Linked DNA regions of Callithrix jacchus. The protein of the gene in region 1 purifies or fractionates together with the protein of each later gene. This does not show direct contact. Links are inferred from orthologs where the notes say so. Each region holds a gene or a part of one and is shown in the gene's direction. Other genes may lie near its edges.

Region 1 (4,151 bases):
ACAGGGGACTGTGCTTTCCCCGATCATCTCCTAGCACACCGGTCCTTCCCAGGCTTCCTAAGTGCAGGAGCGCGCGTGCGCGTGCACACTCTCACACACTAGGGCTCGCGCGTGCGCACAGCGCTCTCCGATGGACACCCCCACCACCCCACCAAGCCTCCCTTCCCCCTCGGAGGGCCAGGCGCCTCAGTCGCCGAACAGGAAGAGGGCGGGGCCAAGGAGAAAAAAACACGCCTCCACCCCTCGAGATTTTCTACCCGCTAATTTTCCCAGTCACCCATTGGGAAGAAGGATCTGGGCGACCTGAAAGCCTCCCAAACAGCGAAGTACCAACCACAGTACTGGCTAAACCAGACACGGCACCCTAAACGTAGGGCCCACCCACTCGGTCTCCCCTTCTCGGTCTCTCCACCCAGGCCGCTTTCCCCTGGAAAAAATCGCGAGACTTTGCGAGAGGCCGAGTGAAAACCTGAGAGGGGAGGACAGGGAGGGACATAAAAGGGCCCCGCCCCGCATGCTCGCGCAAAGCGGCTAGAGGTCGGCTCTGCCTCACCGTAACGCGAGGAAGGAAATCTCGCGAGGCTGGAGTCCTCCGGGAGCGACGGTCGGAGGCGGTCGGCGGAGGTGTCTCCCCAGTCGGTGATGGGGCTGAATACCGCTGGCCTCTCGGCCACCCCCCTGCCACCTCGGTCCGGTTCTGCGTCTGCTCGCTGAGGAGGCGGATTAGGGGCGAGGAGTTTCTTCCCTTGGGTGCATACGTCCGGGTTGGTTGAGGCATTGAGTTGGATCGCCACAGCTGACGCCTGCGAGGGACTAAAAGGAGAGTAAGTAGACTAAATCCAGGGACAGGAGCGGTGGTGGGCGAGTCGCGGGCGTCCTTCATTGAGGCCGGTGCCCTGCGCCTCTAGAACCACCGGCGCCAGCTCCCGGCCGCTTCCAGCCGCGGGCTCCCAACTCCTGGGAGCCGGACTTTTTCTCCGTGTCCCCCGGCTCCGAGCTCCTCTTAATGGAGCTGCGGTTCAGAAAGTTTAATGAAAAGCCTTGGCCCTAACCCTGTGGACACATCTTCCGTATCTGCTTTCTTCCTGCCTTACCCACCTGCGAGCTCACCACCGGACGGGGGACCCTTTCAGTCACCTGTTAGCAGCGTTTAATGAAGATAACTTGTTTCTTGAAACTGCTCTCCAAGGAGCATTACTCTGTTCTGGTTCTCTTCCTGTCGTCCTTCTGTATCCCATCCCTGATAATGGTTCCTTATCTGTCCTGTTATCCGAACTAGAAAACCAGGAATTATTCTTGGTTCTTCATTTCCACTCACTGCACTGTATTATTTTTTCTTTCGCCAGAAATACTCTAGTTGCCCCTTGCCCTACTACACTGGTTTCCCTACTATAATCCTTCCATAGAGTTATTCTAAAATACATATTTATCTCTGTTCTTTCCTTAAACTTTTTAGTAACCATATTGCTGACAGAATCAAATCCTAATTGTTAAGTACATCATCATTCAGGATCTTTTACAGTCTGTCCCAATCCATTTTACCTTTTAGTCTTGCTTTAATATCTGACCATAGCAGATTATACTGGCTGTTTCCTCAAACATGCCATGCACTTTGACAACTCTGTACTTCTGTACGTGCGGTACCATCTGTCTAGAACGCTTACTGTTCCTCTGTTTTACCACCTATCAAAACCCAAATCATAAATTTTTTCTTCTCAGACTCCCGCAGGTGAATGGATACCGCTGTGTTCCCAACGCGTTTGAAACATTTCTTCTGCAGTATTTATTAGGTTGTATTATTTGTTTATGTATCTGTCTCTCCTGCCAATTTGAACCTGGGTCTGGAATCATGTCTTATTCATCTCTGACGAAGAGTCCAATGCTTGGCTCGTAGTAAGCATTATTTATATGTACCTATGTATGCTTATAGAAATGGAATAGTGCTAAAGAATTCACCGTTAAGAGTTCTTCATCTTTTAATATCAAAGAATTTTGGAGCCAGAAGGAACTTTGTGCATTAGCTTAAAGGCCCCTGATCTGTTTTGAATTTAAGAAATCCTACACTTACGCAATTGTACTTTTAGTAATTGTTGATTGAAATTATATATGACAGAAAACTACTATGCTTTTAAATGACTTTGTATTTTATTTTTATAATATCTGTTTATGTTAGAAAAATGGAGCAGAAATGTTTTAGACTACAGACAGTGCTTGGAGTATGTGCATTCAGGCAACTCTTCCACTGACTCATTAGTCTGTAGGTTAGAAATAACTGGTTTAGATTAGGTTAGTTCCTTCCTGAATTGTCATAATTGTTTGAATATGAAACTTAAATTCAGCCACAATTCTAAGGGAACGTGTATTTAAAAAAAAAAAATCCTCCAGCGCCATTACTTCCAAAGTCTTTCTTCCAACTTTAAAAATTAATTGAATACAGTTCCAAACATGTATTCATTGCACTGTTTTCAAGGACAGTGAAAATATTCTTTGCTTTCAGATACAATGATATGCCTGTATCAGTGCTTATTTTTATATGTAATTTGTATGCATCGTTTCTTTCTTATGATTATGTTTCTATGAAAACCATAACTATATTTTAAATTTTTTTATTTTCATATGGGTCAGTTCATATTATGTACTACTTAATATCAGAGACGAATAACTTGAACATGAAAAAAATTTAAACTAGATTCTTGACATTTAAAGACACATCTAGGGTATATCAGTAGTCAGAATATTTCTTTGTATTCCTGTAGTGGTAGGTGTAGTTTACTTGCAGTTAAGGGAAACAGAAGGGTTTCCAATCTGTAAACATTCATTGATCTTATAATTAATGTAATGCCTAATTTAAATGATTGCTAGGCTTTTATTATCTGGAAAACATTCGAAATTTTTTTTATTCTTTAAAAGTTTTCTTATATTTCATACATATTCCCATTTATTTTCTGTGGTTGGCTTAAAAATTTTGACTTGAATTTCCTTAAATTTTTCTTAACCAAAAAACAGCTGGCAATTGCTGTCTTGGGTGGGCGGTGGTTTCTCTTTTATCAGCAGCAGAATGTTCTAAACCTTCTGCCAGAAGTCTGACTGCGAAAGTCTTTGGGTGGTAAAGTGGGCGAGAATATGACTAACACAGAAAAGAAAAAAAATTTTTTTAAACTTGGTTAAAAAAAATTCACTTGTAATTTGAAACTACCTATAGAAAATAATGTAAGTAAGTGTATTATGGCTAGTTAAGATAGGCACTATAAAAACAGGTTGAAAAGTGTAGAATATTCCTTTTTTACTGAAGTTTGTTTATAAAATTTGAAACTTGTTAGAGAGTTTGGAAAACAGTCTTCCTCCTACTCTACTTCCTGGCCAAAAAAGAGGGGAAGCACAATGGTCTTCAAAAAAGGTGATAAAGTAAATGCATATTATAAAATATTCAAACTTTTGTGTGGTTTCACATACAGGAAATGAACATGCAAATTCTTAGAAACTCTTGTCATTGTTTTTCTGAATTGCTAATAAAATTATGCTTTAAGCTATCTGCTGTTTATAATTCCTTTCCCTGAATAGGTAGGTTTTTATAGTTAACAAAACAGATTTTAAATGTAGTTCATTTTGTATTTCATTATGCAGTCTGGAGAAGAGTTTTTCATAAATCGGATGTTAATTACGATTTTTAAAAAGCCCATCCGTAAACATTCATTGATCTTATAATTAACTGTGACACCTAATTAAAATGGTTTGCTAGGCTTTTATGTCTGGAAAACATTTGACTTTTTTTTATTCTTTAAAATTTCATATGCATTCTTATTTCTTTTCTATTGCTGACCCAAAAAACTTTTCATAATATCTTTCATGTTCCGTTTGTGGGGTAGGATGAGGGAATTTGCTTTTTTTCCCCCCACCTAATGAGTTTGAGGTGGTTTCTATATAGGTAAAAAGCAAACAGGACCCTGGGAATTCAACTTGGCTCAAGAATAAAACACCGGACTGGGGATCAGAAGTTCTATTTTTGGGACTAGTTTGGCTCTTTTCTTGCTTTGTGGTGCTATCATTTGGCTTTTTAGATTTGGAATCCATGCATCTATTTCCTCATTGGTAAAATGGATATAAAACTTGTCCTCTTGCCCAAATGACAGTATAAGGTTAGTGTTGCTCAG
Region 2 (3,500 bases), on another chromosome or scaffold:
TCTCACTGCCTTGGTGGATGGGCAGGTATGTGGATCTTAAAACTCCTTGCTGGTTATTTCAGACTCTGCTTTCTTTAATGTTGAGGTGCTCATGACCCTTTCCACTCTTTCTTTCTCTCCTTCCTTCCTTCCTTCCTTCCTTCCTTCCTTCCTTCCTTCCTTCCTTCCTTCCCTTCCTCCCTCCCTCCCTCCCTCCCTCCCTCCCTCCCTCCCTCCCTCCTCTCTCACCCAGGCTGAAGTGCAGTGGTACACACTCTGCTCACTGCAACCTCCACCTCCCTGGGTTGAAGCAATTCTCTGCCTCAGCCTCCTGAGTAGCTGGGATTCCAGGTCCCCGGCTAATTTCTTTGTATTTTTTTTAGTAGAGACAGCATTTCATCATCTTGGCCAGACTGGTCTTGAACTCCTGACCTTGTAATCCACCTGCCTTGGTCTCTCAAAGTGCTGAGATTACAGGTGTGAGCCACTGTACCCAGCTGACTCCACTCTTACACCACTTTGGGAATATAGTTTAGTAGAAATTGATAACATTCATTCAAACTTTAAAAAAATTTTAATCTGACAAATAATTGTGTCCGGTTTTTTAAGTGCATTATTATTTATATCAGGCACTGAACTATATGGTGGGATCACAGAGGTGGATGGTGTAACCCGTATATCCTCTCAGACTGTTTTTGGACAAGCCTGGGAGATGTAAGGAGCTAATTATTGGTTTAGGTAGATGTGTACACAAAAGAACTTACAAGAAAATTTTTTGAGTGTGAAGACGTTAGTGTCTGGCAGGGAGTAGGAGTAATATCCAAGAAGTTTTCTCAAAGGAGCTGTTAAAGGTGGAGTCTGGGTGTGACAGCAATGGTCTGTTAGGAAGAATGGGAGTGTACTCAGTAGTTCAGAGTGGGCTGGAGCAAAGATGTACCCTGCAGAGTCAACCCTCATTCAGGCAGAGCTCAGAAACACCAGTGGGGCCCAGTGATGGGGGCACCCAGCTCAGTTTTTTAAAATTTTATAGAGACACAGGGTCTTGCTGTGTTGCCCAGGCTGGTCTCAAACTCTGGGCCTCAAGCAGTCCTCCTCCCTCAGCTTCCGAAAGGGTTGCAGGCATGAGCCACTGTGCCCAGCCAAGAATGTTTACCAATTTTTTAGGTGAGGTTAACATTTTAAACCACTCGTTTCAGATATTCTGTCTACATGGTGGTCTCTCGCCATCTATAGATACACTGGATCATATCAGAGCACTTGATCGCCTACAAGAAGTTCCACATGAGGTATGACTTTTATTTGATAATACGTTTTCTGAAAAGATTTTAGGGAGTGGAGAAGTTTAATTGTAAGTTAGTTCATTATATGTATTCTCTCATTTAATTCTCAAAAACAACTTGAGGTGTGAGCATTCTTTCTGCCCTGTTCAGAAGAAGCTGACATTAAGAAATCTGCCAAGATCACAATAGCTATGGAGCTTGGTTTATTAGGACCTAGGTTGTCTGTTTCATAGCTCTGAAATTTGCATAATATAGGCAGATTAATAGGGCATGTTGCTGTTGGGTCCCATGGATGTCAGCTGTGTCTCATAAAGACTGCTAGAAAATACATCTTATTTGATGCAGATGTGTGACTTCAGTTGTACAATCTATTAGCATTTTCCACAAACATCACTCAAAAAGGGTGACTTAGGTGCTGCTTCTGTTAAATTACTCAAATACTGTGTTAACCATGTTTGTTAAAGGCAGTTTATAACTTGAAGTTACTTTTTAGGGTCCAATGTGTGACTTGCTGTGGTCAGATCCAGATGACCGTGGTGGTTGGGGTATATCTCCTCGGGGAGCTGGTTACACCTTTGGACAAGATATATCTGAGACATTTAATCATGCCAATGGCCTCACGTTGGTGTCTAGAGCTCACCAGCTAGTGATGGAGGTATGCTCTGTTCTTTGAAATACGACTTGCTTCTTAGTAAACTTAAGGAAAGATATTAGGGAATTTTAAATTAATGACTTGTGAGAAATTCCATTTATTCCTTCTGATGAGTTTGCCGTTACAGCCTGAGCCTTTTCAGTAGATGGCACACAAGAATTAAAAGCTCAAGCTTTTGATTACAATTAATTAACCATTAACATGTTTTCAGAGAATTCTGAATGGAAGTGCTTTGGGATTTAAGAGTGGGAAAGTAAGATGTAGGGAGTTGGAGTGTGTGTATAATATTTTATTATCCCACTGTTTATTCCATATATTTAACATGTATGTGTGTAGGAGAGACTGGAAAGAAATACACTAAAATGTTTTAAATGGTCCTTTGGTTAGTAGGATTACAGGTGATTGGAAAGAGACTAGTGTTCCTTTTTTTTTTTTTTGAGATGGAGTCTAGCTCTTTTGCCAGGCTATAGTTCAGTGGCGCCATCTCGGCTCACTGCAACCTCCACCTCCCAGGTTCAAGCAATTCTCCTGCCTCAGCCTCCCAAGTAGCTGGGATTACAGGCATGTACTGCCATGCCTAGCTAATCTGTGTATTTTTAGTAGAGACGGGGTTTCACCTTACTGGCCAGGATGGTCTCGATCTCCTGACCTTGTGATCCACCAACCTTGGCCTCCCAAAGTGCTGGGATTACAGGCGGGAGCCACCGTGCCTGACCAAGGCTAAGGTTCTTGACATGGCACACTGATGAGCATATTTTAAAAAATAAAGTCCTAATTAGTTTAATACTAGTATAACTCTGTGGGTATTGATAAAATCTGACTTTGCTAAAGATAAATTTGTGAACAGTACTAAACAAAAAGTAACAGAAGTAGCTCGTACATTCAGATGGATGGACTTTGAGGAAGCAAGGCTGGAAAGACTAGAGGCATGTCTCATTTGTTCCTGGGCAGTGAACCACACACTAATAGGCCTTTACCTATGACAAGAAAATTAGTGAGGTTATGGTCTCCAGGATTAGGTGTCTACCTCTCTAGGGAATGGCCACATAAATACTTATTCTTAAATCAGGTTTTAAGGCCACTGCAGTAGAAGAGGCTAATGAGACACTACCATTTTCAGCAAGTCAGATGCATAAGAAGCAGTTTATTCTTCGGTGGTTGGTGTTGTTTGTTAAAGGCTTTTTTTTTTTTCCTTTTTAGTACTAAAAAACTGAGTTTTATAATTAGGGGAAAAACAAATACATGTGTGTCTTACAGGTTGTATAAAAAGGGTTATTTACAGATTGTATAAGGGATATTTACAGGTTGTATGAAAAGGGATTATTATTACCGCAAATTCATAAGTCATCCAGAAAAAAAGCATTAATGTTTCTTAAGCCTCTTTGGCAGGGGTGGGAATGAGTAGAGATTTTCCCTTGAGTGAAGTAACATTTAGTTGTAAATAAGGGAGTAAAGTAAGATATTTATCTCATTTTCCTTGTAGGGATATAACTGGTGCCATGACCGGAATGTAGTAACGATTTTCAGTGCTCCAAACTATTGTTATCGTTGTGGTAACCAAGCTGCAATCATGGAACTTGATGATACTC
Region 3 (3,500 bases), on another chromosome or scaffold:
TCTGCCTCACTGTGTATGTAGTATGCTTCATTTGTCACTAGTTTTGAACTAATTAAGAAAAGGTAATTGGAAGTTATTTGAGTATATTGGTTTTTTTTAAGTACATTTCACCTGGAGATACATAAGCCCAGGAATCATAGGTATCTATTGTAATCCCAGAAGTTAGAGGTCTTCTGGGACTTCCAGATGTTTAATGGGAATGAGTGATAGGAAGAAAGCTTAGAGACCTGCCTTACATAGAGTCTTTTGTTTTCAGTGGGGATTCAAATTGGTTCATATTTGTTAAAGAATAAGAAAATGAGGACAATTATTTTAAGTTCATGTGTATAATGTATATCATTTATTCAAAGGAGCAAGATCTTGTGCAAACCCTGAGCTGTTTGTCTATGATAATCACACCTGCATTTGCTGAAGTAAGTACAGATTAATTAGCCTTGGATATCTGTTTTAAGTAGTATAATATTTTAAACGTTTTAACTATTAATCATTCTCAGCTTAAACAGCAGGACGAGAATAATGCTAGCAGGAATCAGGCGATTGAAGAACTCGAGAAAAGTATTGCTGTGGCTGAAGCCGCCTGTCCCGGCATCACAGATAAAATGGTGAAGAAACTAATCGAAAAATTTCAAAAGTAAGTTGGAAATGTCATTTAGAAAGTTATTTTGCATTTTCTGTTGGGTGTTAATTTATGATGCAATGTAATTCCCTTGATTCAAACATTCCAATTAGTCATAACAAAGTCACCTTTTAATACACAGTCGTATTCTTAAAAACAGTTTTTGTTTGTTGCCTATATTAAACATTAGCTTTCAGAACTATTATCTTTAGGCATAACAAAATAGTTTTCCACTACATGAAATGGCCTGTTTTTCTTTCTTATCTAGTAGGAGTACAGACAAAAGGTCACTGAGCATATTCTCATTTGAGCTCTTATAAACGTTATTGGGGTATTATTTCGTTCTTGCCACGACCCTCAGAATTTAACAAAACACCACTAGTTGCATAGTTCCAGTGCTAAAGTTCCTGCATTTGACTACCATATGAAAAGTTAAGGAAAAGGTAGAGGGACTCAATCTAGACCAAGAAAAGGCTCTTATGTTCAACTTCAGATTCTGTGCTGTCTCTTGAAATACTTATTTGATTTTGTTCACACTGAACAAAAAGTTCTTACATTTAATTTTTTTTAAATTTTCCACCAGACTTTTGTATGCATGCATACACATACACACTCCTTAGCTCGAGCAAGCTATACGGTGATATTAATTTTAGCCTTAACCCTGTTATATCTCTTCTCAGTGCATCTTCATGTAGCTTTGTGTTTATGATGCCACTGGGATCGAGTTGGAACAAACTCTGTGACCTATGAAATGACACACTCTCAAAGATCTTTCTATCTGATAAGGCTCACTTGTACTTGCAAACCTAACCCCTTCTTAAAATCCCTTATATTTTAACGAAAACCTCTCATTTGTTTTCCAATTTGAAAACAAATCAATCGGAAGTTATGAAATCAGATGCAGAAGGGATTTTTGAATTTGTTTATATTTTAACATCTACATGATGAAATTCCATAGAAATAATATATCCCCTTTGTGGAATCAGTTTCTTCATTGCAGAGTTCACACAAAGGAGAAACATAAACATGCACAGTTGTACATTGGTTTACATTTTTTTTAATTTTACAGGTGTTCAGCAGACGAATCCCCCTAAGAAACTTATTATTGATGTCTGTTTCATACAGTACCAGAGAGACCCACCAAAACTACTTCAAGCTTAACAATGTTTAACTCGTGAGCTCCATGTGCCTTTTGGATCTTTGCAACACTGAAGATTTAGAAGAAGCTATTCAACTATTTTGCGATGGTGTTTATCATTTTATATTTTGAAAGGATTATTTTGTAAGGAATAACTTTTAATACTATAGTTTCACCTGTATTCTAGTAAATGTTGAGACACCGTTTGGCTTTGAGTATCACTATTTCTTAAGTTACTAGGATGAATACCTTTCACGTTTTGACCTTTAGTTAACTCTACACTCCTGAAACATACAGGTCTTTCAAAGTCATTCTAAATATTCAACTTTTGTAAATTATCAAGTTTCAGAAAGCTTATTTGAAAAAAAGCCTTGCATATTCTCAAAATGACTATTGGCGGGAGGTGTAAATAAGTCCTTCTTGAAACAAATGTTTAATAAAGTCTTAGAAATTCAACCTGTGAAATTATCTTCTTAAAACAAATTTTTAATAACGTCTTAGAAATGAAACCTGTAAAAGTATTGACTCTTCTACCAAGTTGGCATGATATTTCAAAGCTCAATGATAATCACATTTGAGACCCTGTGTTTGAAGCATTTACAGGCAACGTACAGCAACAGCGGTACCTCTTGGTGTGTAGTATTTACATTCTCTTTTAGGTAGAAGAGGCAATTTTAACCCTTATTTAACATGGTTAGAAATATAAAGCAAAATCATTTAGCCAAGGATAGGTGTTTGGTAATGTTGGAGGAGTTAGTCTGGCTTCATGTTTTACATCTTCAACTAAAATCCCGTACTATCTATTTGGATTTGGAGAGACTAAAAATAAAGCTGATTGTCATGTGATTAAATACCTGATCAACAGGTATGAATATAACTTATACCAGCATATTTTTGTCATGATAGTGAATTGTCCTATAAACTATTTATATATTTTTGTTCTTCATAATTATCAGTAATAAGCATAAGTTTTTTTTAAAAGGATATTTAAGTGAGCATTTTCTAGTTCATATGAAAATAACCGTATTACAGGATGATTTCTGTCCACACAAAGGCAAGTTAGATTGCACAGTTAATTTTCACTTGTATTTATGGTACTGTAAGTGGGTGATGACTTTTTCTTTTAAGCCCAGTACATATATTATGCCTGCCTAAGTTCTGAACTGGGGCTACATTTCAGTAGTTGTAGAATTATTGATATTAATTAGTTTTGATAGTTAATGTTTTGTTGTTTGGATCCGCACAATTTGGTTTTTGCACAAAAGTCATTTTTTTTAAATCTGAGTAATTGACAAATATTAGAAGAAAGCTATTCCTCCTGTAAGGTATAGTTTTTCGTCAAAGTGGCCATTGCATCCTCTTTTTACATAGCATAGATACTTGAGAAAGTTGTGGTGTTATGTGCCAAGGAAATTCTTTTCATTAGTACCTATACTGTAACAATTACTTTTAATGCATTGTATTTTGAAGTAATGGTTCAGTTAAAATTTTCACCTGCTGTGTAACTGAAACACAATTAGAGTTTATAATCTGTAGAAGTCTGGAAATCATTGTGCAAGTCATGTCATGGGTGAAATGAATATTTTTATAAAAGTAAAAGCAGCAAATCTATAAATTGATTATTTGAAACTTTACAACACAATTGCATCCCAAATACAAATTGTATTGCTTATTCATTATAGCTTTTAGTCCTGTAAACTGTTTCTAGGTGAAGCATACTCCAGTGTTTTGGGGGTTTGGAAAATA
Region 4 (3,500 bases), on another chromosome or scaffold:
GTTTACCGTTTTTCCCCTAAATATTGTTAATTGGAATTGATTCCTGCTTGGTGTTGGTAAAGGTGCTTTTCTTGTTGCAGGCAGATATCTGGTCCCTGGGCATAACAGCTATTGAACTTGCAAGAGGGGAACCACCTCATTCCGAGCTGCACCCCATGAAAGTTTTATTCCTCATTCCAAAGAACAACCCACCAACATTGGAAGGAAACTACAGCAAACCCCTCAAGGAGTTTGTGGAGGCCTGTTTGAATAAGGAGCCGAGCTTTGTAAGTTTCCTGGGGATCTGAACATCCCTCCCTATGTGAGTTTTGACTTGGTTTAGATACATCCTGTTGGGATTTCTTTTCAGCTGTCTTCATGGAATTCCTCATTTTTCTTTTTCTATAAATAAGTATGATTGACCTCTTTGGTTTGCAAATACATTTTATAAGTATTAGCAATTTCCTTATTTTGCTTTAGATTTCTACCATCTCATACTTCATTGAATCTGAAGAATATTCTCCTTAATATTAAATGTGGAATCATCAAAGTTTAATATCGATAGAGGATCAGGCCATAAACTGTTACACTGTTTTTAGGAATGGGAAAGTTTAGCTTGGAAATAAGTGGCTAAATATGTCTTTAAAGTAAATGTTTTCAATTTCCAGATGGCATATGTTAGGAAACAAAAGATTAGAAAATACAAATACAACCAAGCCCCTCTTTGCTATCCCCGCCTCTTCCTGCCCACTTCTCTTTTTAGGTTTAATGGACTCTGGCAGAGCCTTACAGCAGTAACGACTGCCTGGCTTTGCCCTGTTTTCTCTTTGAATTAGGACATTTATTTGAAAGTTGTCAGTGTGTGTCGGTGTTGGATGCAGCACCGTATGTCATTGATTTGTTTGAGTTTTCCAGCTGAAGGCCAATCTGAGCACCCCTTTTCCTAACTCTTAATTAAAAATGGGTGGTTACTTTTACAAGAGCACCGTGGTTTTCTAATACACCGGTTTTGGTAAAGGAATTAAGTGGGAAATGCAATATTTTCTTTTTTTTTTTTGAGACGGATTCTCACTCTGTCACCAGGCTGGAGTGCAGTGGCGTGATCTTGGCTCACTGCAACCTCCGCCTCTTGGGTTCAGGGGATTCTCCTGCCTCAGCCTCCTGAGTAGCTGGGACTACAGGCGTGCACCACCACACTCAGCTAATTTTTGTATTTTTGGTAGAGATGTGGTTTCACCTTGTTGGCCAGGCTGGTCTCGATCTCCTGAACTCGTGATCCACTGCCTCGGCCTCCCAAAGTGCTGGGATTACAGGTGTGGGCCACCGTGCTTGGCCAGAATGCAACATTTTCTAAGCACCTCTAAGGAGATGCAGCCGGAGACCACCACGCCAGTGATTGATCACCCCATCAGCGTGAGGTAGTGGTGAGGCTTGTCCCACGTGCCATGATGCTCTGCATTTTATTGCATGATGATGTTTGTTGCACCCACCATGCACTGGTGGAGATGCGGCCGCTTGCAGGCATGCCTTCCCATGCACAGCATGCGTCTAATACGAGCTTATTCCCCAGCACACACCGCTCCACCCTACAGCTACTGAGGAGCCGGCTGAGAGGCGAGAATATGAGCACCTCAGGGGTAGTTGGGGTTTTACCCTCATGTGGACAGAGAGGGAGAATACCTGAGGTGATCAGGTTTCTCACGAGTTTGAATCTGAAAATGTGCTTGACTCTTGTAATCAAGCTTTCGTAGTTTGGAGTGAGTGGGATCTTGGTTTGACTTGGGGTTTGGGTGTTCCTTCTGTCTGTTCCAATTTGGGCCAAGCTGGTTTCCTTGGGAAGCACATTCCCTATCACTGTCACCATCTTCAAGGCAGGTAGCTGGCTGGGTGCTGCTTGCGGTGGCCATGCTGAGCTCAGGGCATGGGTGAAGTCCTCAGCCCAATAACAAGGGAAGGGAGGGACCTGGGCAACAGCCTTTCTAAACTGGGACAGTGGGTGATGAAGAGCACCCCGCTCTTTCAACAGACAGGAAAAAGGGCATCTGCTGGCTCCCTTATGGTTTCTTTGAGATAATTCCAAATTGACATTTCTATTATGTGTCTGGATGTGGTCAAACATTAATACAGAAAGTTAACAAAGCGGCCAGGCACGGTGGCTCATGCCTGTAATCCTAGCACTTGGAGAGTCTGAGGAGGGTGGATCACCTGAGGTCAGGAGTTTGAGACTAGCCTGGCCAACATGGTGAAACCCCATCTCTGCAAAAATAGAAATAATACACTAGGTGTAGTGGCACATTCCTGTAGCCCCAGCTACTTAGGAGGCTGAAGCAGGAGAATCGCTTGAACCTGTGCGGCAGAAGTTGCAGTGAGCCGAGATCTCACCACTGCACTCCAACCTGGGCAACAGAGCAAGACTCTGTCTCAAACAAAAAGTAAAAGCGACACAGAACAAGTATTTTGTCAGCATTTGTCATAAAGTATTTTATAAATTAGGAGATAAGCTCTCATGAATAATCCCTCTGAAGTTCTGTGCAGAGTTTTCTGTGGAAGTGCATTTATCTGGGGGAAGTTCTTGTGCTTTCATTGGATGGCTACCTGTAGAATATTAAGGACCTCCTTGGAAACTCAGTGCCATGCCCACCACAGCACCCGGAGTCCAGGCGTAGGTCCTGAGACTCTCATCTTGGGGCGAGTCACAGTGAGAAGAGCTGTGGAGTGGAGTCCAGTCATCAGGCAGGCTGATGTTTTGAGGCTGAAGTGTGTCCTTTCGGCGGGGATGGAGAGCTTCATCTCATACTTGGGTTGTTGTGTGTGTTTTTCCAGAGACCCACTGCTAGGGAGTTACTGAAGCACAAGTTTATCCTACGCAATGCAAAGAAAACTTCCTACTTGACCGAGCTCATCGACAGGTACAAGAGATGGAAGGCGGAGCAGAGCCATGAGGACTCAAGCTCTGAGGATTCTGATGCGTAAGTGGCCCCTGGGTGGCCCAAGCATGGTGTAGGATGGAGCCGCTGGTCCTTGTCACTTGTTTGGTGTGCATTTCGTTTCTTGTTGAGTTTTTTTCAGATAATCCAGGTTGGTGGCGATTGTTGTGTTAGACACAGCATGGGCCTGTTTGGGCATCATTTAGCCTCTTGATGTTGTCAGTGGAGTTTCTTCGAGGGAACTCTTAGAGCTGTGCGTAGGGGTCCAGACCTGGCTGTTTCACTGTGTTCTGTTTTGTTTCTTTCTGTTCTGTCTTGTTTTCCATTACACTTCATGTTCTTAAAATCCTGACAAGGTGAAATTGTATCACATGAATACCTGAAAGGCTAGAAATGCATGTTTTTGTGATTCCCTGTTGAGTCTGGTAGAAGCTCTGTACCAGGAAGTGACTTACGGAGAACTGCTTTCAAGTTCGGCATCTAGGAATTCCTTTGGCATCAGAGGCAAAGTGGGGCTGCAGCCATTTGTGTGGGGAAGGCTGGGGAGGCAGTCGGGCCAGGGATGTGTCAGGAAGTGGGAGCCTGGGAACTCAT
Region 5 (3,512 bases), on another chromosome or scaffold:
AGCAGAGGGGAGGATGGTCCTTCGGTTAGGCGAACATCCTAAGACTTGAGGGAATTTGGCTGCTCACACTTAAGGTGGCTGCGGGCGACTCTGTTGCCCACAGCTAAGATGGCTGCTTATGACCATCTCCTTTGGCCGCCTCTGCTTTTTGCTCACTAGTATTTTCATCGAGGATTAAAGCGAATAAAATTTAGCAAAGGTTGGCATCTCCTTTCCAAGTAGATAAAATAAGAAGGTGGCACGGTTTGTTTCGAAAATCTTCTAGCGCGCGAATTGTTCTTGCCCTTAACGAAAATGGTCGTTGTGGTTGTCCCGAGGTTTGAAGCTTCCAGCCCTTAAATAAGATGGCGCCTAGAGGCGCGTTAGAAATTAGCTTGCCCGTTTTTCTGCCCTCGACCAACACGGCTTCCGTGGCGTCGCTCACGTGACATTCCTGGACTACGGCGCGGGAGAGGGGGTAGGAGGGCCCTTGAAGGGAGCGCGTTCCCGTGGCGGTGTACCCGGTAGGTTTCAGTCAGAGTCACTATGGCGGCCGGCGCTGGCAAGGTAAGCTGAGGCGGCGGTGGCGGCTAGGGAGGTAGAACCCGTCGTGGCGTCCTGCCTCCAAATCCTCGCAGCCCGCTTGTGGAGAGGTCGGCGGAGGTCATGCCTAGCGGTGGGAGCTGGCGGGGGTCTGGCTGGAGGGGGCGAGGGCTGAGGCGGGCGGGCTGAGGCGCCTGACGGCCGTTTGTTTTGATATTTTCCCCACCAGGTCGGAAAGTTTCCTGCCTCGTCCGGCGCAGCTTGAGCTTGCTCCATTGGCCGTGATCGGTGGAGGCTGCGGCGGACCCAGCCCGGGGCCTCCAGGCCTCTCCCTAACCTCCGGGCCAGTCTCCCTCCCCCACCTTCTCGTCCGCCCGGAGCTGCGACTGCTGTCCCTGAGATGCGACCCTCGCGGGGGCGACCCTGAGGGGAGGCGGCCCATGTGCTGAGCGGCGGCGACCAGGAGCCCAGGCGTCCGGGGACCAACTTCCTGCCGCCCGAGAACCCGAACCTCCCGGTGTCGCGCCTCGCTCGGTCCGCACCGGCCTGCGGAGCCGGGTCCCCGCCCTGGTCGCGGGGACACCCGCCAGGTGCCCAGGAGTCCCGACTTGGCCACTGCTCGCGCCCCGCCGGCCCCCACGCCTCGCGCTGAGGACCCCAGGCACTGCCGCCTCGCCACGCCGGGGACCGAGTCCCCCTTCCCGGGGCGGCCTCCGCGCAGCAGGGGCGATGCAGACTGTCCCGCCGGCCGTTTAGAGCCCCTCCGCCTCCGTCACCTCTCGCCCTCCACTCCGGGCGAGCACGGGCGGTGGCTGCCCGGAGGTGCCCGGCCACACCTTCCTTCGGCCCAAAAGGACTTTCCTGGCCGCGCCGAACCACGACCCTTCCTTCATGCTGCAGTGCTGCAGCGTTTCCGCCACCGAGGGGGAAAAGCGGCCGCGATCTCAAACCAAACACAAGAATTGGAGTGTGACTCATCTGCTTGGATACCTCCAGTCCCCAAACTGTGCTCCAGGAGTTTTCTTGGCCGAAGCTGCCCGATGTTTGAGCCGTTTCTTCCCAGAGAGGAAGATGGACTGAAAGCTGCCCGTTGGGGACTTTTCGTGATTAGGGCACTGCTGGGTTTTGGAGGAGGTGATGGGGCTTGCGCTGGCTTGTCTTCCCACCCAAGTGAAGAGTTGTTGATGTTCACTGGTTATGCATAGACAATGTGCAGTTTGTTTTAATTTAAAATTTTGGGTGGGATAGGGGTATAGGCTTGTGAAGGGCAGCCCGGATCCGGAGGAACTCCTCTTTGTCCCTGGTAGGAGAGACACCCCAAGCCTATCCTCGATGCCGTCAGCCTTGGCCATCTTCACTTGCCGCCCAAACTCGCACCCGTTTCAGGAGCGTCATGTCTACCTGGACGAGCCCATCAAAATCGGCCGTTCAGTGGCCCGCTGTCGACCAGCGCAGAATAATGCCACTTTTGATTGCAAAGTGCTGTCAAGGAACCACGCTCTCGTCTGGTTTGATCACAAGACAGGCAAGGTAATGTCACCACCACATTGTCCAACTGCATTGTTTAACAAACTCCTCCCCCACCCCACCTTTGCCCTCCCTGAAAGGCCTGACTTTTGCAGGATCCCAGGCTTTGCATCCACAGGAGGCTTTGCGCAAAGCCAGGAATCAACTGTTTGTGTGCCTGGTTCTAGTGGAAATTTGATTGAGGTGGTTGAATGGAAAACAGAGAAGGTATTGTAATTAAAAGCCTCAGGAGAGCTATGGCATCTTGATAACGTAGTCATTCCCAGAGAAATCCCAAACTAGATTGTGAAACTTGGCGTCTTGCTTTCAGTCTGTTGAGAAAGGTGAATTCACAGTTCAGCTCTTTATTAAGCAAGCAGCAGTTCTCAAAGCAATTCGGGGAATCCGTGGCCATTATTACCCTGGTGCTCAGGTGTCTTTGTGGTGAAATGTAGTTAACACATAGCTTTAGTTGAGTTCAGATCAAGACCTTTCTAAGTAAGGACAGTTGCTGGTGTAAACCTAAGATTTTTGAAAGGTTTGCTATATACTTGCTCTTGAAGGAATCATTTGCAATAATCAAAGCTAATTTAATTAAGCATGAGAACTGTACTTTATATATATTGAGAGTTTTTTTTACAAGTTGGTTGCACATACATATATTGCATTTGAAAATCACTTTTTGATGTTCCCTGCAGCACTTATTAAGTACTTATTGCATACTTACAGAGGTGCTATGCAAAAGTTAGTGTTAGGAAGTGAACTTATTTTCTGAAATTACACCCTAGTCTTTCAATTATAGTGTTACTTAAATGTGATAGGATGAATTCAGTGCTTTTCATTTTAAGTGTAACCATTTTTAGCATTTTTGCGTTAGTATCATGACTTACTATACATGTATGAGCTTTTAAGAATGAAGAAAAAAGATAGGATCATTTCCATTTTTAAAAACTATTTATGTTTGTGGAGAGTATACTAAAGAGCTCGTCTTAGTGCCTAAACCTCAGGTTTTTAGCCGAGCTACTGAATCAGTTCCAACTTTAAGTTATGTAAGACTAATAGGACTGTCTCAGGTTTCACCTCCTGACTTTTTGCCCCTTCTTTCTGAGTTAAATAATTAAATCTTTCTTAAAGGAAGAACTTAAGTCTTCAAGAATATGTTTTGAAGTGAAAGAAACCTGAGCCTCAAAAGGAAGAGAAAAAAATGATAACTTTGGCAGCTACTGATTTAAGGAAATATTTTATTATTTTTTAAAGAAAGGAGGAAAAGACTGTCCGAGTTATGTGTGCTCCATAATATCTATATTGTGTGTGTAGCATGAGAACTGAAGAGTATGTTAACTTTTCTGTGTAACACCAGTTCCTCATTTACCTGTGGAACAGACCCTTCCCCCAAGCTGGTTAGGGGTGCCTAAAATACTTCATAGATTACTTGATATACATATATATATTTTTTTTTTTTTTTTGACAGATTTTTACTTGCA
Region 6 (4,141 bases), on another chromosome or scaffold:
CTAATCTCTTATATTTATTTTTGTTTCTTCTCACAAAGATCATCTTCTTTGGCCAAAGCTCTAGGCTAGCTTCTGTGAGTCTTCTGCCTGACTGGGCCCAACCCCTTGGGCTTCCCTTTCTGGCCTTGTCGAACCCAGTCTGTGCAAGAACGCTCCACTCTTGGTGTCTTAGTCCATTTTTTTGTTGCTATAACAGAATACCAAAGACTGGATAATTTCTAAAGGAAAGAAAGTTATTTTTTGCAGTTCTGGAGTCTGGAGAGCCCAAAGTCAAGGGGTTGGGTCTGGTGAGGACTTTCTTAAACTGCATAGGGAGAGAGCAAGAGCACGTGGGCCAGCTCAGATCGCTCCTCCTCTTATAAAGTCATCAGTCCCCTCACAGGGACCCTACCCTGATGACTTTATCTAATCCTGATTATCCCCTCAAAGCTCCACCTCCAAATACCATCAACATATGAATTTGAGGATTGAGTTTCCAACATATGGAATTTGGGAGACACATTCAAACCATAACACTTGGTATCTGACCACCCTCAATATCTTAGCACCCTATCCTGCTTTCAGCAATAATCCTGTTAGGTCAGTTTAGCAAGAAACTTCTTATCCTTGATGTTTCTCTTAGTAATTTTCTGTCCACTGACTCTCATCCTGCTTTTTGATCATAAATCCCTACTATTTCTTGTTGGAGTCAGAGTTAAGTTCAATTCCTCTTCTTCACTGCAAGGTCTGGTTGTAGCGGTCTCTAGAACTATCACCTGGGCTCTCTGACATAACGTCTGCCTTACCATCTTTAATTAGTTTCACGAGCAAATTTTCCTCTGACACTTTTCAGCATTTATTTCTCTATATTTGTCTATTGTTTGTTGGACCCACCAAGCACTGTTATGTACCATGACTGCAGACACTTGTCCCTCATTTTATCTTAACCGCTTGGCACACAGGAGACATTTATTCAATGTTTGTTGAATGAGTGATTAGCACTCATCACAACTGTAACTCTGTGAAGACTAGGATCCTACCCATTTTGTTCTTTACAAAATACCGCCTAAGACTTGAACAAGTCTTCGATAAGTGCAAAGCGATTTAGAGGAAGGAGGGGTGACTAAACTGACTGAAGAAGCTAAGGGAAGCCTCACAAATACAATTACATTGAAACTGAAACTGAAAGGGAGGAAAACTAAAAAGATCAAGAAGGGAAGAACTGCAGACAGTATCGTGCTGGTCAGCCAAGATGGCTTCTATCGCAGGCCGCCACACTTAATATGGCGACCAGGTAAAGTTCCTGGAGAAAATCACGCGAGAGTTGCATCACGGCGGCTGTCCGCGAAATAAGCTGGGGGTGTGGAGCAGCCAAGATGGAGCCGGCAGCCGGCAGTCCGGGCCCACTGATCGTGAACAACAAGCAGCCCCAGCCTCCGCCACCTCCGCCGCCGGCAACCGCACAGCCTCCACCTGGGGGACCGCGGGCCGGCGCGGGCCTCCTGCCCGGGGGCAAAGCCCGCGAGTTCAACCGCAACCAGCGCAAAGACTCGGAGGTCAGGAGCTTCGGGGGCGAGGCTCGCACCGGGCGGGGGGCGCCGGGGGTCCCGGGCATTGGGCCGCTCTAGGGGCCAGGCTGGGCTTCCCGAAGGGCTCGGTAGAGCCCGGCCGGGAGCTGTCATTATACAGCGAAAGGAGCAGGAAGCGAGGTTGGCAGCTCCTGGGGTCAGAGGCATGAAGCCCGGGTCCCCGCTCGAGCTCCGCCGCCCAGGAGAGCGTCCCGGAGCCTGCGATCGCTGGTTTGCTCTCCTGGGCCCCGGCTGTGGGCGTGGCCTCGAGGCCCCTGACCCTGGGAAGCCTCCTTCACCCCAACTCGCGGGTGGGAATTTGGGGGTCTGCGTGCACTCCAGGGCGCTGGGCGGCCGCGCCCCCAACCTCTAAACCTCTCGGGCCTCTGCCCCTGGTACTGGGGCGCAGGCTCCTGGGTCGTGCCGCGCGCAGAGGACGGCGCGTGTGGGCAGGCAAGGCACCGGCGAGGATCTAGGAGGCACTTAAGGCCAGACCGAGATAGTTATCACTGAGAGTATTGCGCTGCCGGAGGTTCCGAGAGTAGGAGGGGGAAACTATGCCTTGTTCTTCTGACCTGAGCCGGATCGGGCCATGGGTTGACAGTGCCTCTGGTGGGTATTTTGCCCAGTGCGCCTGATACTGAACTGTTAAAGATGAGAAATAGACATTTTAAAACATGCATTAGGACCCAGCATTCCTTCCTCTCTCTCTAGTGAGCAGTTCCTGCCGTTCTGGAGATGGCATAGTCTGGAGCCGACTAGTAACCTCACCCCAAGTTAAAGAATTCCTCCCACTGCCTTCCTCTGCAGAATTCATGAATGAAGATACACATGTCGGGGCGTTTTAGGGCTTCTTAATCAGCACGTTCCCAGAGCACTTACTATGCCATCTCCTATGTTAATCAGCCCCCAAGCGAATCAGCCAAGTTAATGAGAGGGAATTCCTCATTGTCCAAGCATAATGTACTCATAGAGCAATGATACTATCTTTAGACTTGTGAAATCAGTTCCTCACAAGCTTTTGTTTTTGTTAGCAAGCCTAAACCCCTGATAAAACGTGTCAACAATTGGCAACCCCAAAGTAGAAGTAATCTGAGCTTAGAGTGAATAATTTGAAAAAACAAAGAAACTGACCTTTAAGGAGCCCTTGCATGCTAGGATGATGGACATCAGTGGTAACTACTCAGTTTTTCCTTTTTTTTTTTTGAGACGGAGTTTCGCTCTTGTGACCCAGGCTGGAGTGCAATGGCGCGATCTCGGCTCACCGCACCCTCCACCTCTTGGGTTCAAGCAATTCTCCCGCCTCAGTCTCCTGAGTAGCTGGGATTACAGGCACGCGCCGCCACCACCACGCCCAGCTAATTTTTTGTATTTTTAGTAGAGACGGGGTTTCACCATGTTGACCAGGATGGTCTTGATCTCTTGACCTCGTGATCCACCGCCTCGGCCTCCCAAAATGCTGGGTTTACAGGCTTGAGAGGATTACTAAAGTGGAGGGTAGTGAACTTCCTTCATCATGAGAGGAGTTATCATTTTGAAAAACGGTTTAAATTTTCCTAAGTAGCTATGAATGGTCAAATAAATACCCTTTGACGAATTTTAATTTCTCTTTTTACCCCTTAATTTCCACATAGAGGCCGGGTGTGGTAGCTCACGCCTGTAATCCCATCACTTTGGGAAGCCCGGGGAGGGGGGGCGGATCACGAGGTCAGGAGATGGAGATCCTGGCTAACACGGTGAAACCCCGTCTCTACTAAAAATACAAAAAATTAGCAGGGTATGGAGGCACGGGGCCTGTAGTCTCAACTACTTGGGAGGCTGAGGCAGGAGAATCACTTGAACTTGGAAGGTGGAGGTTGCAGTGAGCGGAGAGAGATCATGCCACAGCACTCCAGCCTGGGCAAGAGAGCGAGACTCCGCCTCCAAATACATACATACATACATTTCCGAATAGACTAATTTAATGAAAGACCAGTCAAATGGACACATTTAAGCAGAGACCTGTCTAAATCCATTTCTTTTTTTTTTTTTTTTTTTAAGATGGGGTTTCACCATGATGGCCAGGCTGGTGTTGAACTCCTGACCTTAGGTGATCCATGCACCTCGGCCTCCCAAAGTGCTAGGATTACAGGCGTGAGCCACCGTGCCTGGCTAAATCCATTTCTTTAAAGAGGCTGATGCTGTGATCTTCCTTTAGTCATAGCTGAAATCTGTAGTTGGGAGCTTGATCAGTGAATGCCTGGAGGACAGGGAGGCTGGCATTTTATGAGAGCCCACTGTGTACTACATAATTTTGATTAGTCCTTAAAAATCTTCAAGGTAGGGTTTCATAATTGCCATTCAATGAATGAAGTAACTGAAGTTCAGTAACTTGTGTGAGTGTACACTGTGTTGTCTCTGAACATAGTGTGGAGTTCTTGTTTGTGGGAGTGGTTTTGTTTTGTTTTTGAGACAGGGTCTCCCTCTGTTGCCCAGGCTGGAGTGCTGTGGCTCTATTTCTGCTCACTGCAACCTCCACCTCCTGGGCTCAAGATATTCTCCTGCTTTAGCCTCCCCAGTAGCTGGGATTACAGGTGTGCACCACCATGCCTGGC
Region 7 (4,191 bases), on another chromosome or scaffold:
GGCTGAGGCAGGAGAATCGCTTGAACTTGGGATGCAGAGATTGCAGTGAGCTGAGATCGCGTCACTGCACTTCAGCCTGGGTGACAAGAACGAAACTCCATCTCAAAAAAAAAAAAAAAAGAAAAGAAAAGAAAGAAAGAAAAGGCCAGGTGTGGTGGCTCGCTTTAGAAGGCCAAGGCAGGCAGATCACCCTGAGGTCAGGAGTTTGAGGTCAGCCTAGCCCAAAGTGGTGAAAACCCCGTCTCTACTAAAAATACAAAATTTACCCAGCTACTCCGGAGGCTGAGGCAGCAGAATCACTTGAGCCAGGGAGGTAGAGGTTGCACTGTGCTGAGATCAGGCAACTGCACTGCAGCCTGGGCGACAGACTGAGACTCCATCTCAAAAAAAAAAAGAAAGAAAAAGATGCTGGGGGCATTCAGACCTGTCAGAGCGCTAGCTCAGTCCAGCCCTTCAAGCGTAGCAGAATGAAAGAGGAAAGAGCATCCCAGGCCTTCCCATCCCTCCAACTCCCTTAGTTACAGTGGTCCTAAGATTTCAGTGGGTGGGTTGGTGGGGGGGGGGCAATGTGTTTAGGGAGGTTAAAAACAGAGATTAGGCCTGGCTTGATGCCTCGCGCCTGTAATCTGGGTATTGGATACCAGCCGAGGGGTTTGGGTTTCATCCAAAGAGCAAGACAACTGAGCTCAACATAGACTCGGTTCTACAAAAATTTTCTGCAGGCTGAGGCCAGAGGGTCGTTTCAGACTGGGGAGGTCCAGGCGGCAATGAGCCGAGATCGCGCCACTGCACTCCAGCCTGGGCAACACAGCGAGACAATGTCTTTAAAAAAGCAAAAAAAAAAAAAAAAAGATAGAGAAAGAGAGAGAACAGGGCAAGTCACTCCCTTCTCTAGGCCTTGGCATAAAATAAATACAAAGTCTCATTCCGTTCTCCTCCCGCGCAAAGGCGCGGGGGGGGGGCCACTCCGCCAGCCAATGGAACCACGGCTTGATAACCCAAAACCTGCACACCCTACCGCTCCCCACATGACGTCATGTATTACCATCGACGCACGCGCAGAAGCCTCCGGGATTTACCGAAAGGCAGGCTTAGCCTCCTCCCCATCTCGCCCTTCATTGGCTACAAACAACTGCTCGTCTCGGTCGTTGTCAGCGGAGACGAGGGCGGGTACAATGTTGGTCGCTAGGACACCGCTAAGTTCCTCTTTCTCGCTCTCCTAGGCTCAAACTAGTCAAATCTCGTTCAATCGACCAATGGCAAATGGGAAATGGGCGGGACTTCACTAGTCTGGACCAAAGAAACGCGGGCTTAGCCCGGCGTAGCGCGGCCAATGACCATGGAGCAGCCCCTGTAAACTGGCTTGGGCGCCCCCACGCGCGCGTTTCCTCCTCCTCCTCCCAGCTCTGCCCCGGGTTTCAGCACAGCGCTGGCCGCAGTCTGACAGGAACGGGACGGAGCCAAGATGGCGGCGGCCGACGGCGACGACTCGTTGTACCCCATCGCGGTGCTCATAGACGAACTCCGCAACGAGGATGTTCAGGTCCGGAGGCTACGGGGGAGTTAGGGAAGTGGGGAGGGGGATCTTGGGACACCGGCAGCACTCGCGAAGACTCAGCGTTCGCTGGGAGTGGCGGAAGGAAGCGGCGGCCAATCAGTGTGCTTTTCTTACCTCCCCGGGTGCCCGGACTCATTGAGACGGCGCCCCCGATTGGGTGTCGACCCAGCGGAGGGCGGGGGCCAGCGCCAGCCTCGAGGGTCCCGGGCCTGCAGAGTGCGCGCGGTGGCCCTGGGTCCTGGGAGGCCGCGACCTGGGCTACGATCGGTGGGCTGGGTTGGGGAGAGGAGAGAGGAGGACTCCGTGATTGGCGGCGGCTTCCGAATGGTCCCTTGGGGATGTGGGGCGCGCGTGACTTGCTCCGAGTGGGGGAGGGCCGCCTGGTGGATCGGGACCTGGAGAGTTTTTTGTTTTTTTTTTCTTTTCTGGGTTTATACTCCTGGGCCAAGTGGGGACCGAGAGGCGAAAGCCTGCCATCGCAATTCCTGCTTTTCCTACGCTTCTCATTTTGGTGTAGGTGTCCTAAGAGGAGGGGGATGCAGAAACAGCGCCCCCCCCAAAAAGTGGGGACTAGCCAAATTTAGGGGCGAATTACATTGTAGAAAGCTGCCTCCCCACCCCCGGATCCTCCCATTGACCAGGATAGGGGGCGAAGGCTTTGCTAAGCCGATGAACATTTCTTCCTAATTTTTTTTTTTTTTCGATACCGAGCTCGCTGTGTCACCCAGGTGGGGGTGCAGAGGCGCGATCTCGGCTCAGTGCAGCCTCGCCTCCCGGGTTCAAGTCGTCCTCGCGCCTCAGCCCCCTAAGTAGCTGAGATTACCGCCGCGATCCACCACGCCCAACTAATTTTTGTATTCTTAGTAGAGATGGGATTTTGCTTTGCTAGCCAGGCTTGGTCTCAAACTCCTGACCTTAGGCGATCCACCCGCCTCGGCCTCCCAAAGTGCTAGGATTACAGGGGTGAGCCACCGCGCCCGGCCCGGGTGAACATTTCTGGTTATGGGATGAGGTGGCCCAAGGTGGTGTGGGATTGAAAACAGTTAGGACTTCAAGTTCACCTCCCACCCGCTGTGTGACCTTGTGCAAATTATTTCACCGCTCTGGGCCTCTGTCCCATAAAATGTGGGCTAATTGTAGCCCTCGTCTTGCTGGAGGGACTTGTTGAAGGGCTGAATGAATTATGACACAAAGTTGAGTGCTGTCAGGCCTGCCATAAGGGCCGGATAAATATTAGCTGCACTTATTGGGAGTGGTGATTAAAGAGGTCCCATCCTCCCTTTAGGCCTCAGTTTTCCCGTTTATAAAATTGAACAAGTGCACTGGGTAACCTACAAAACGTGGGTCCCATCCCTAGGTTCCTGGTATATCACTTTCTGGTGGCAGACAGACCGTGGTTGTACTCCTGGCCCTTCCACTTCTCACTGATTGACATGGACAAATTAGTTAATCTCTCTAGGCCTCTGTTTGCTCTTCTCTTGATTGGGGATAATTATGTAGTTCATAGGGCTGTTGTATTGAATTTTTTTTTTTTTTTTGAGATGGAGTCTCACTCTGTCGCCCAGGCTGGAATGCAGTGGCATGATCTTGGCTCACTGCAACCTCCGCCTCCCAGGTTCAAGCGATTCTCCTGCCTCAGCCTCCAGAGTAGCTGGGACTACAGGTGCATGTCACCACAGCTGGCTAATTTTTGTATTTTTAGTAGAGATGGGCTTTCACTATATTGGTGAGGCTGGTCTTAAACTCCTGACCTCATGATCCACCCGCCTCGGCCTCCCAAAGTGTTGGGATTACAGGCGTGAGCCACCGCGCCCGGCCGTATGAATTCTTTTGTTCAGTAAACACATGGCGTGTATCAGGTATGATGCTGGGGGTGTAGTGGAGACACCAGTTGCTCTACAGGATCTGCGTGTGAAACAGGCCAACAGAGCTGAATGAAAAGTGATGGGAAGGGAACAAACAGGATGTTGTGGTAGTGAATCCACATTGAATTGGGCGAGTGTTCTGTGCGGGGCACTGTTCTAGGCACTGGTATAGCAGGGAACGAGACAAAAAATCCCGCACTTGGGGAGTTTACCTTGTAGTGAGGAAAGACAGACAGTAAACGAAGAGTATACTGTATTACATGCGGATGAGTGTCAGGGAGAAAAGTAAGAGAGAGAGGAGATGCAGTTTTAAAGTGTAGTCTGGGGAGGCCTTGTTGAGATGATGTTTGAGAACACACCTGAAGGCAGAGGAAGCAGGATTACAAAGTTGGGTGGGGCAGATGCATTTTAAGTAGGCCATTCGGGCAACGCCCCTCTGAGGATGCAGAGTTTGAGAAGAGACTGAAAGAAGGTGGGGAGGAGCCTCCGAGGAAGAGGAAGCAGATGTGTAATGGCCCTTTTTTTTTTTTTTTTTTTTTTTTTCTGGCAGAGTCTCCCACTGTTGCCCAGGCTGGAGTGCAGTGATGCAGTCTTGGCACACTGCAGCCTCCACCTCCTGGGTTCAAGTGATTCTCCTGCCTCAGACTCCTGAGTAACTGGGCATGCGCCACCACCCCTGGCTAATTTTTTTTTCGTATTTTTAGAAGAGATGGGGTTTCTCCAGGTTGACCAGGCTGGTCTCAAACTACTGACCTCAGATGATCCGCC

What was found.
Region 2: the proteins of FGFR1OP2 (region 1) and PPP2CA purify together in Homo sapiens (affinity purification with mass spectrometry; 4 studies listed by BioGRID and IntAct, with this or other methods). This does not show direct contact. The link is inferred for Callithrix jacchus from reciprocal best matches to the Homo sapiens genes FGFR1OP2 and PPP2CA.
Region 3: the proteins of FGFR1OP2 (region 1) and STK26 purify together in Homo sapiens (affinity purification with mass spectrometry; 4 studies listed by BioGRID and IntAct, with this or other methods). This does not show direct contact. The link is inferred for Callithrix jacchus from reciprocal best matches to the Homo sapiens genes FGFR1OP2 and STK26.
Region 4: the proteins of FGFR1OP2 (region 1) and STK24 purify together in Homo sapiens (affinity purification with mass spectrometry; 4 studies listed by BioGRID and IntAct, with this or other methods). This does not show direct contact. The link is inferred for Callithrix jacchus from reciprocal best matches to the Homo sapiens genes FGFR1OP2 and STK24.
Region 5: the proteins of FGFR1OP2 (region 1) and SLMAP purify together in Homo sapiens (affinity purification with mass spectrometry; 3 studies listed by BioGRID and IntAct, with this or other methods). This does not show direct contact. The link is inferred for Callithrix jacchus from reciprocal best matches to the Homo sapiens genes FGFR1OP2 and SLMAP.
Region 6: the proteins of FGFR1OP2 (region 1) and STRIP1 purify together in Homo sapiens (affinity purification with mass spectrometry; 3 studies listed by BioGRID and IntAct, with this or other methods). This does not show direct contact. The link is inferred for Callithrix jacchus from reciprocal best matches to the Homo sapiens genes FGFR1OP2 and STRIP1.
Region 7: the proteins of FGFR1OP2 (region 1) and PPP2R1A purify together in Homo sapiens (affinity purification with mass spectrometry; 5 studies listed by BioGRID and IntAct, with this or other methods). This does not show direct contact. The link is inferred for Callithrix jacchus from reciprocal best matches to the Homo sapiens genes FGFR1OP2 and PPP2R1A.

Annotation. Positions count from the first base shown.
Region 1 is NC_133510.1:44,307,404-44,311,554, reverse strand, and holds the start of FGFR1OP2 (FGFR1 oncogene partner 2), read left to right. Parts: upstream 1-1,351; 5' UTR 1,352-1,600; coding exon 1,601-1,790; intron 1,791-4,151. UniProt on the Homo sapiens protein: May be involved in wound healing pathway.
Region 2 is NC_133503.1:74,131,582-74,135,081, forward strand, and holds part of PPP2CA (serine/threonine-protein phosphatase 2A catalytic subunit alpha isoform), read left to right. Parts: coding exon 1-25; intron 26-1,175; coding exon 1,176-1,265; intron 1,266-1,752; coding exon 1,753-1,914; intron 1,915-3,394; coding exon 3,395-3,500. UniProt on the Homo sapiens protein: Catalytic subunit of protein phosphatase 2A (PP2A), a serine/threonine phosphatase involved in the regulation of a wide variety of enzymes, signal transduction pathways, and cellular events.
Region 3 is NC_133524.1:127,632,449-127,635,948, forward strand, and holds part of STK26 (serine/threonine-protein kinase 26), read left to right. Parts: intron 1-350; coding exon 351-413; intron 414-494; coding exon 495-631; intron 632-1,685; coding exon of another isoform or gene 1,686-1,710; exon of another isoform or gene 1,711-1,741; coding exon 1,742-1,787; 3' UTR 1,788-3,500. UniProt on the Homo sapiens protein: Serine/threonine-protein kinase that acts as a mediator of cell growth. Modulates apoptosis. In association with STK24 negatively regulates Golgi reorientation in polarized cell migration upon RHO activation.
Region 4 is NC_133502.1:14,170,682-14,174,181, reverse strand, and holds part of STK24 (serine/threonine-protein kinase 24), read left to right. Parts: intron 1-80; coding exon 81-266; intron 267-2,802; coding exon 2,803-2,948; intron 2,949-3,500. UniProt on the Homo sapiens protein: Serine/threonine-protein kinase that acts on both serine and threonine residues and promotes apoptosis in response to stress stimuli and caspase activation.
Region 5 is NC_133516.1:39,559,933-39,563,444, forward strand, and holds the start of SLMAP (sarcolemmal membrane-associated protein), read left to right. Parts: upstream 1-1,500; 5' UTR 1,501-1,854; coding exon 1,855-2,052; intron 2,053-3,512. Other genes in the region: uncharacterized protein LOC144579547, read right to left, coding at 511-1,500. UniProt on the Homo sapiens protein: Associates with the striatin-interacting phosphatase and kinase (STRIPAK) core complex, forming the extended (SIKE1:SLMAP)STRIPAK complex.
Region 6 is NC_133508.1:147,887,808-147,891,948, forward strand, and holds the start of STRIP1 (striatin-interacting protein 1), read left to right. Parts: upstream 1-1,341; 5' UTR 1,342-1,355; coding exon 1,356-1,535; intron 1,536-4,141. UniProt on the Homo sapiens protein: Plays a role in the regulation of cell morphology and cytoskeletal organization. Required in the cortical actin filament dynamics and cell shape. Part of the striatin-interacting phosphatase and kinase (STRIPAK) complexes.
Region 7 is NC_133523.1:45,575,234-45,579,424, forward strand, and holds the start of PPP2R1A (serine/threonine-protein phosphatase 2A 65 kDa regulatory subunit A alpha isoform), read left to right. Parts: upstream 1-1,391; 5' UTR 1,392-1,465; coding exon 1,466-1,543; intron 1,544-4,191. UniProt on the Homo sapiens protein: The PR65 subunit of protein phosphatase 2A serves as a scaffolding molecule to coordinate the assembly of the catalytic subunit and a variable regulatory B subunit.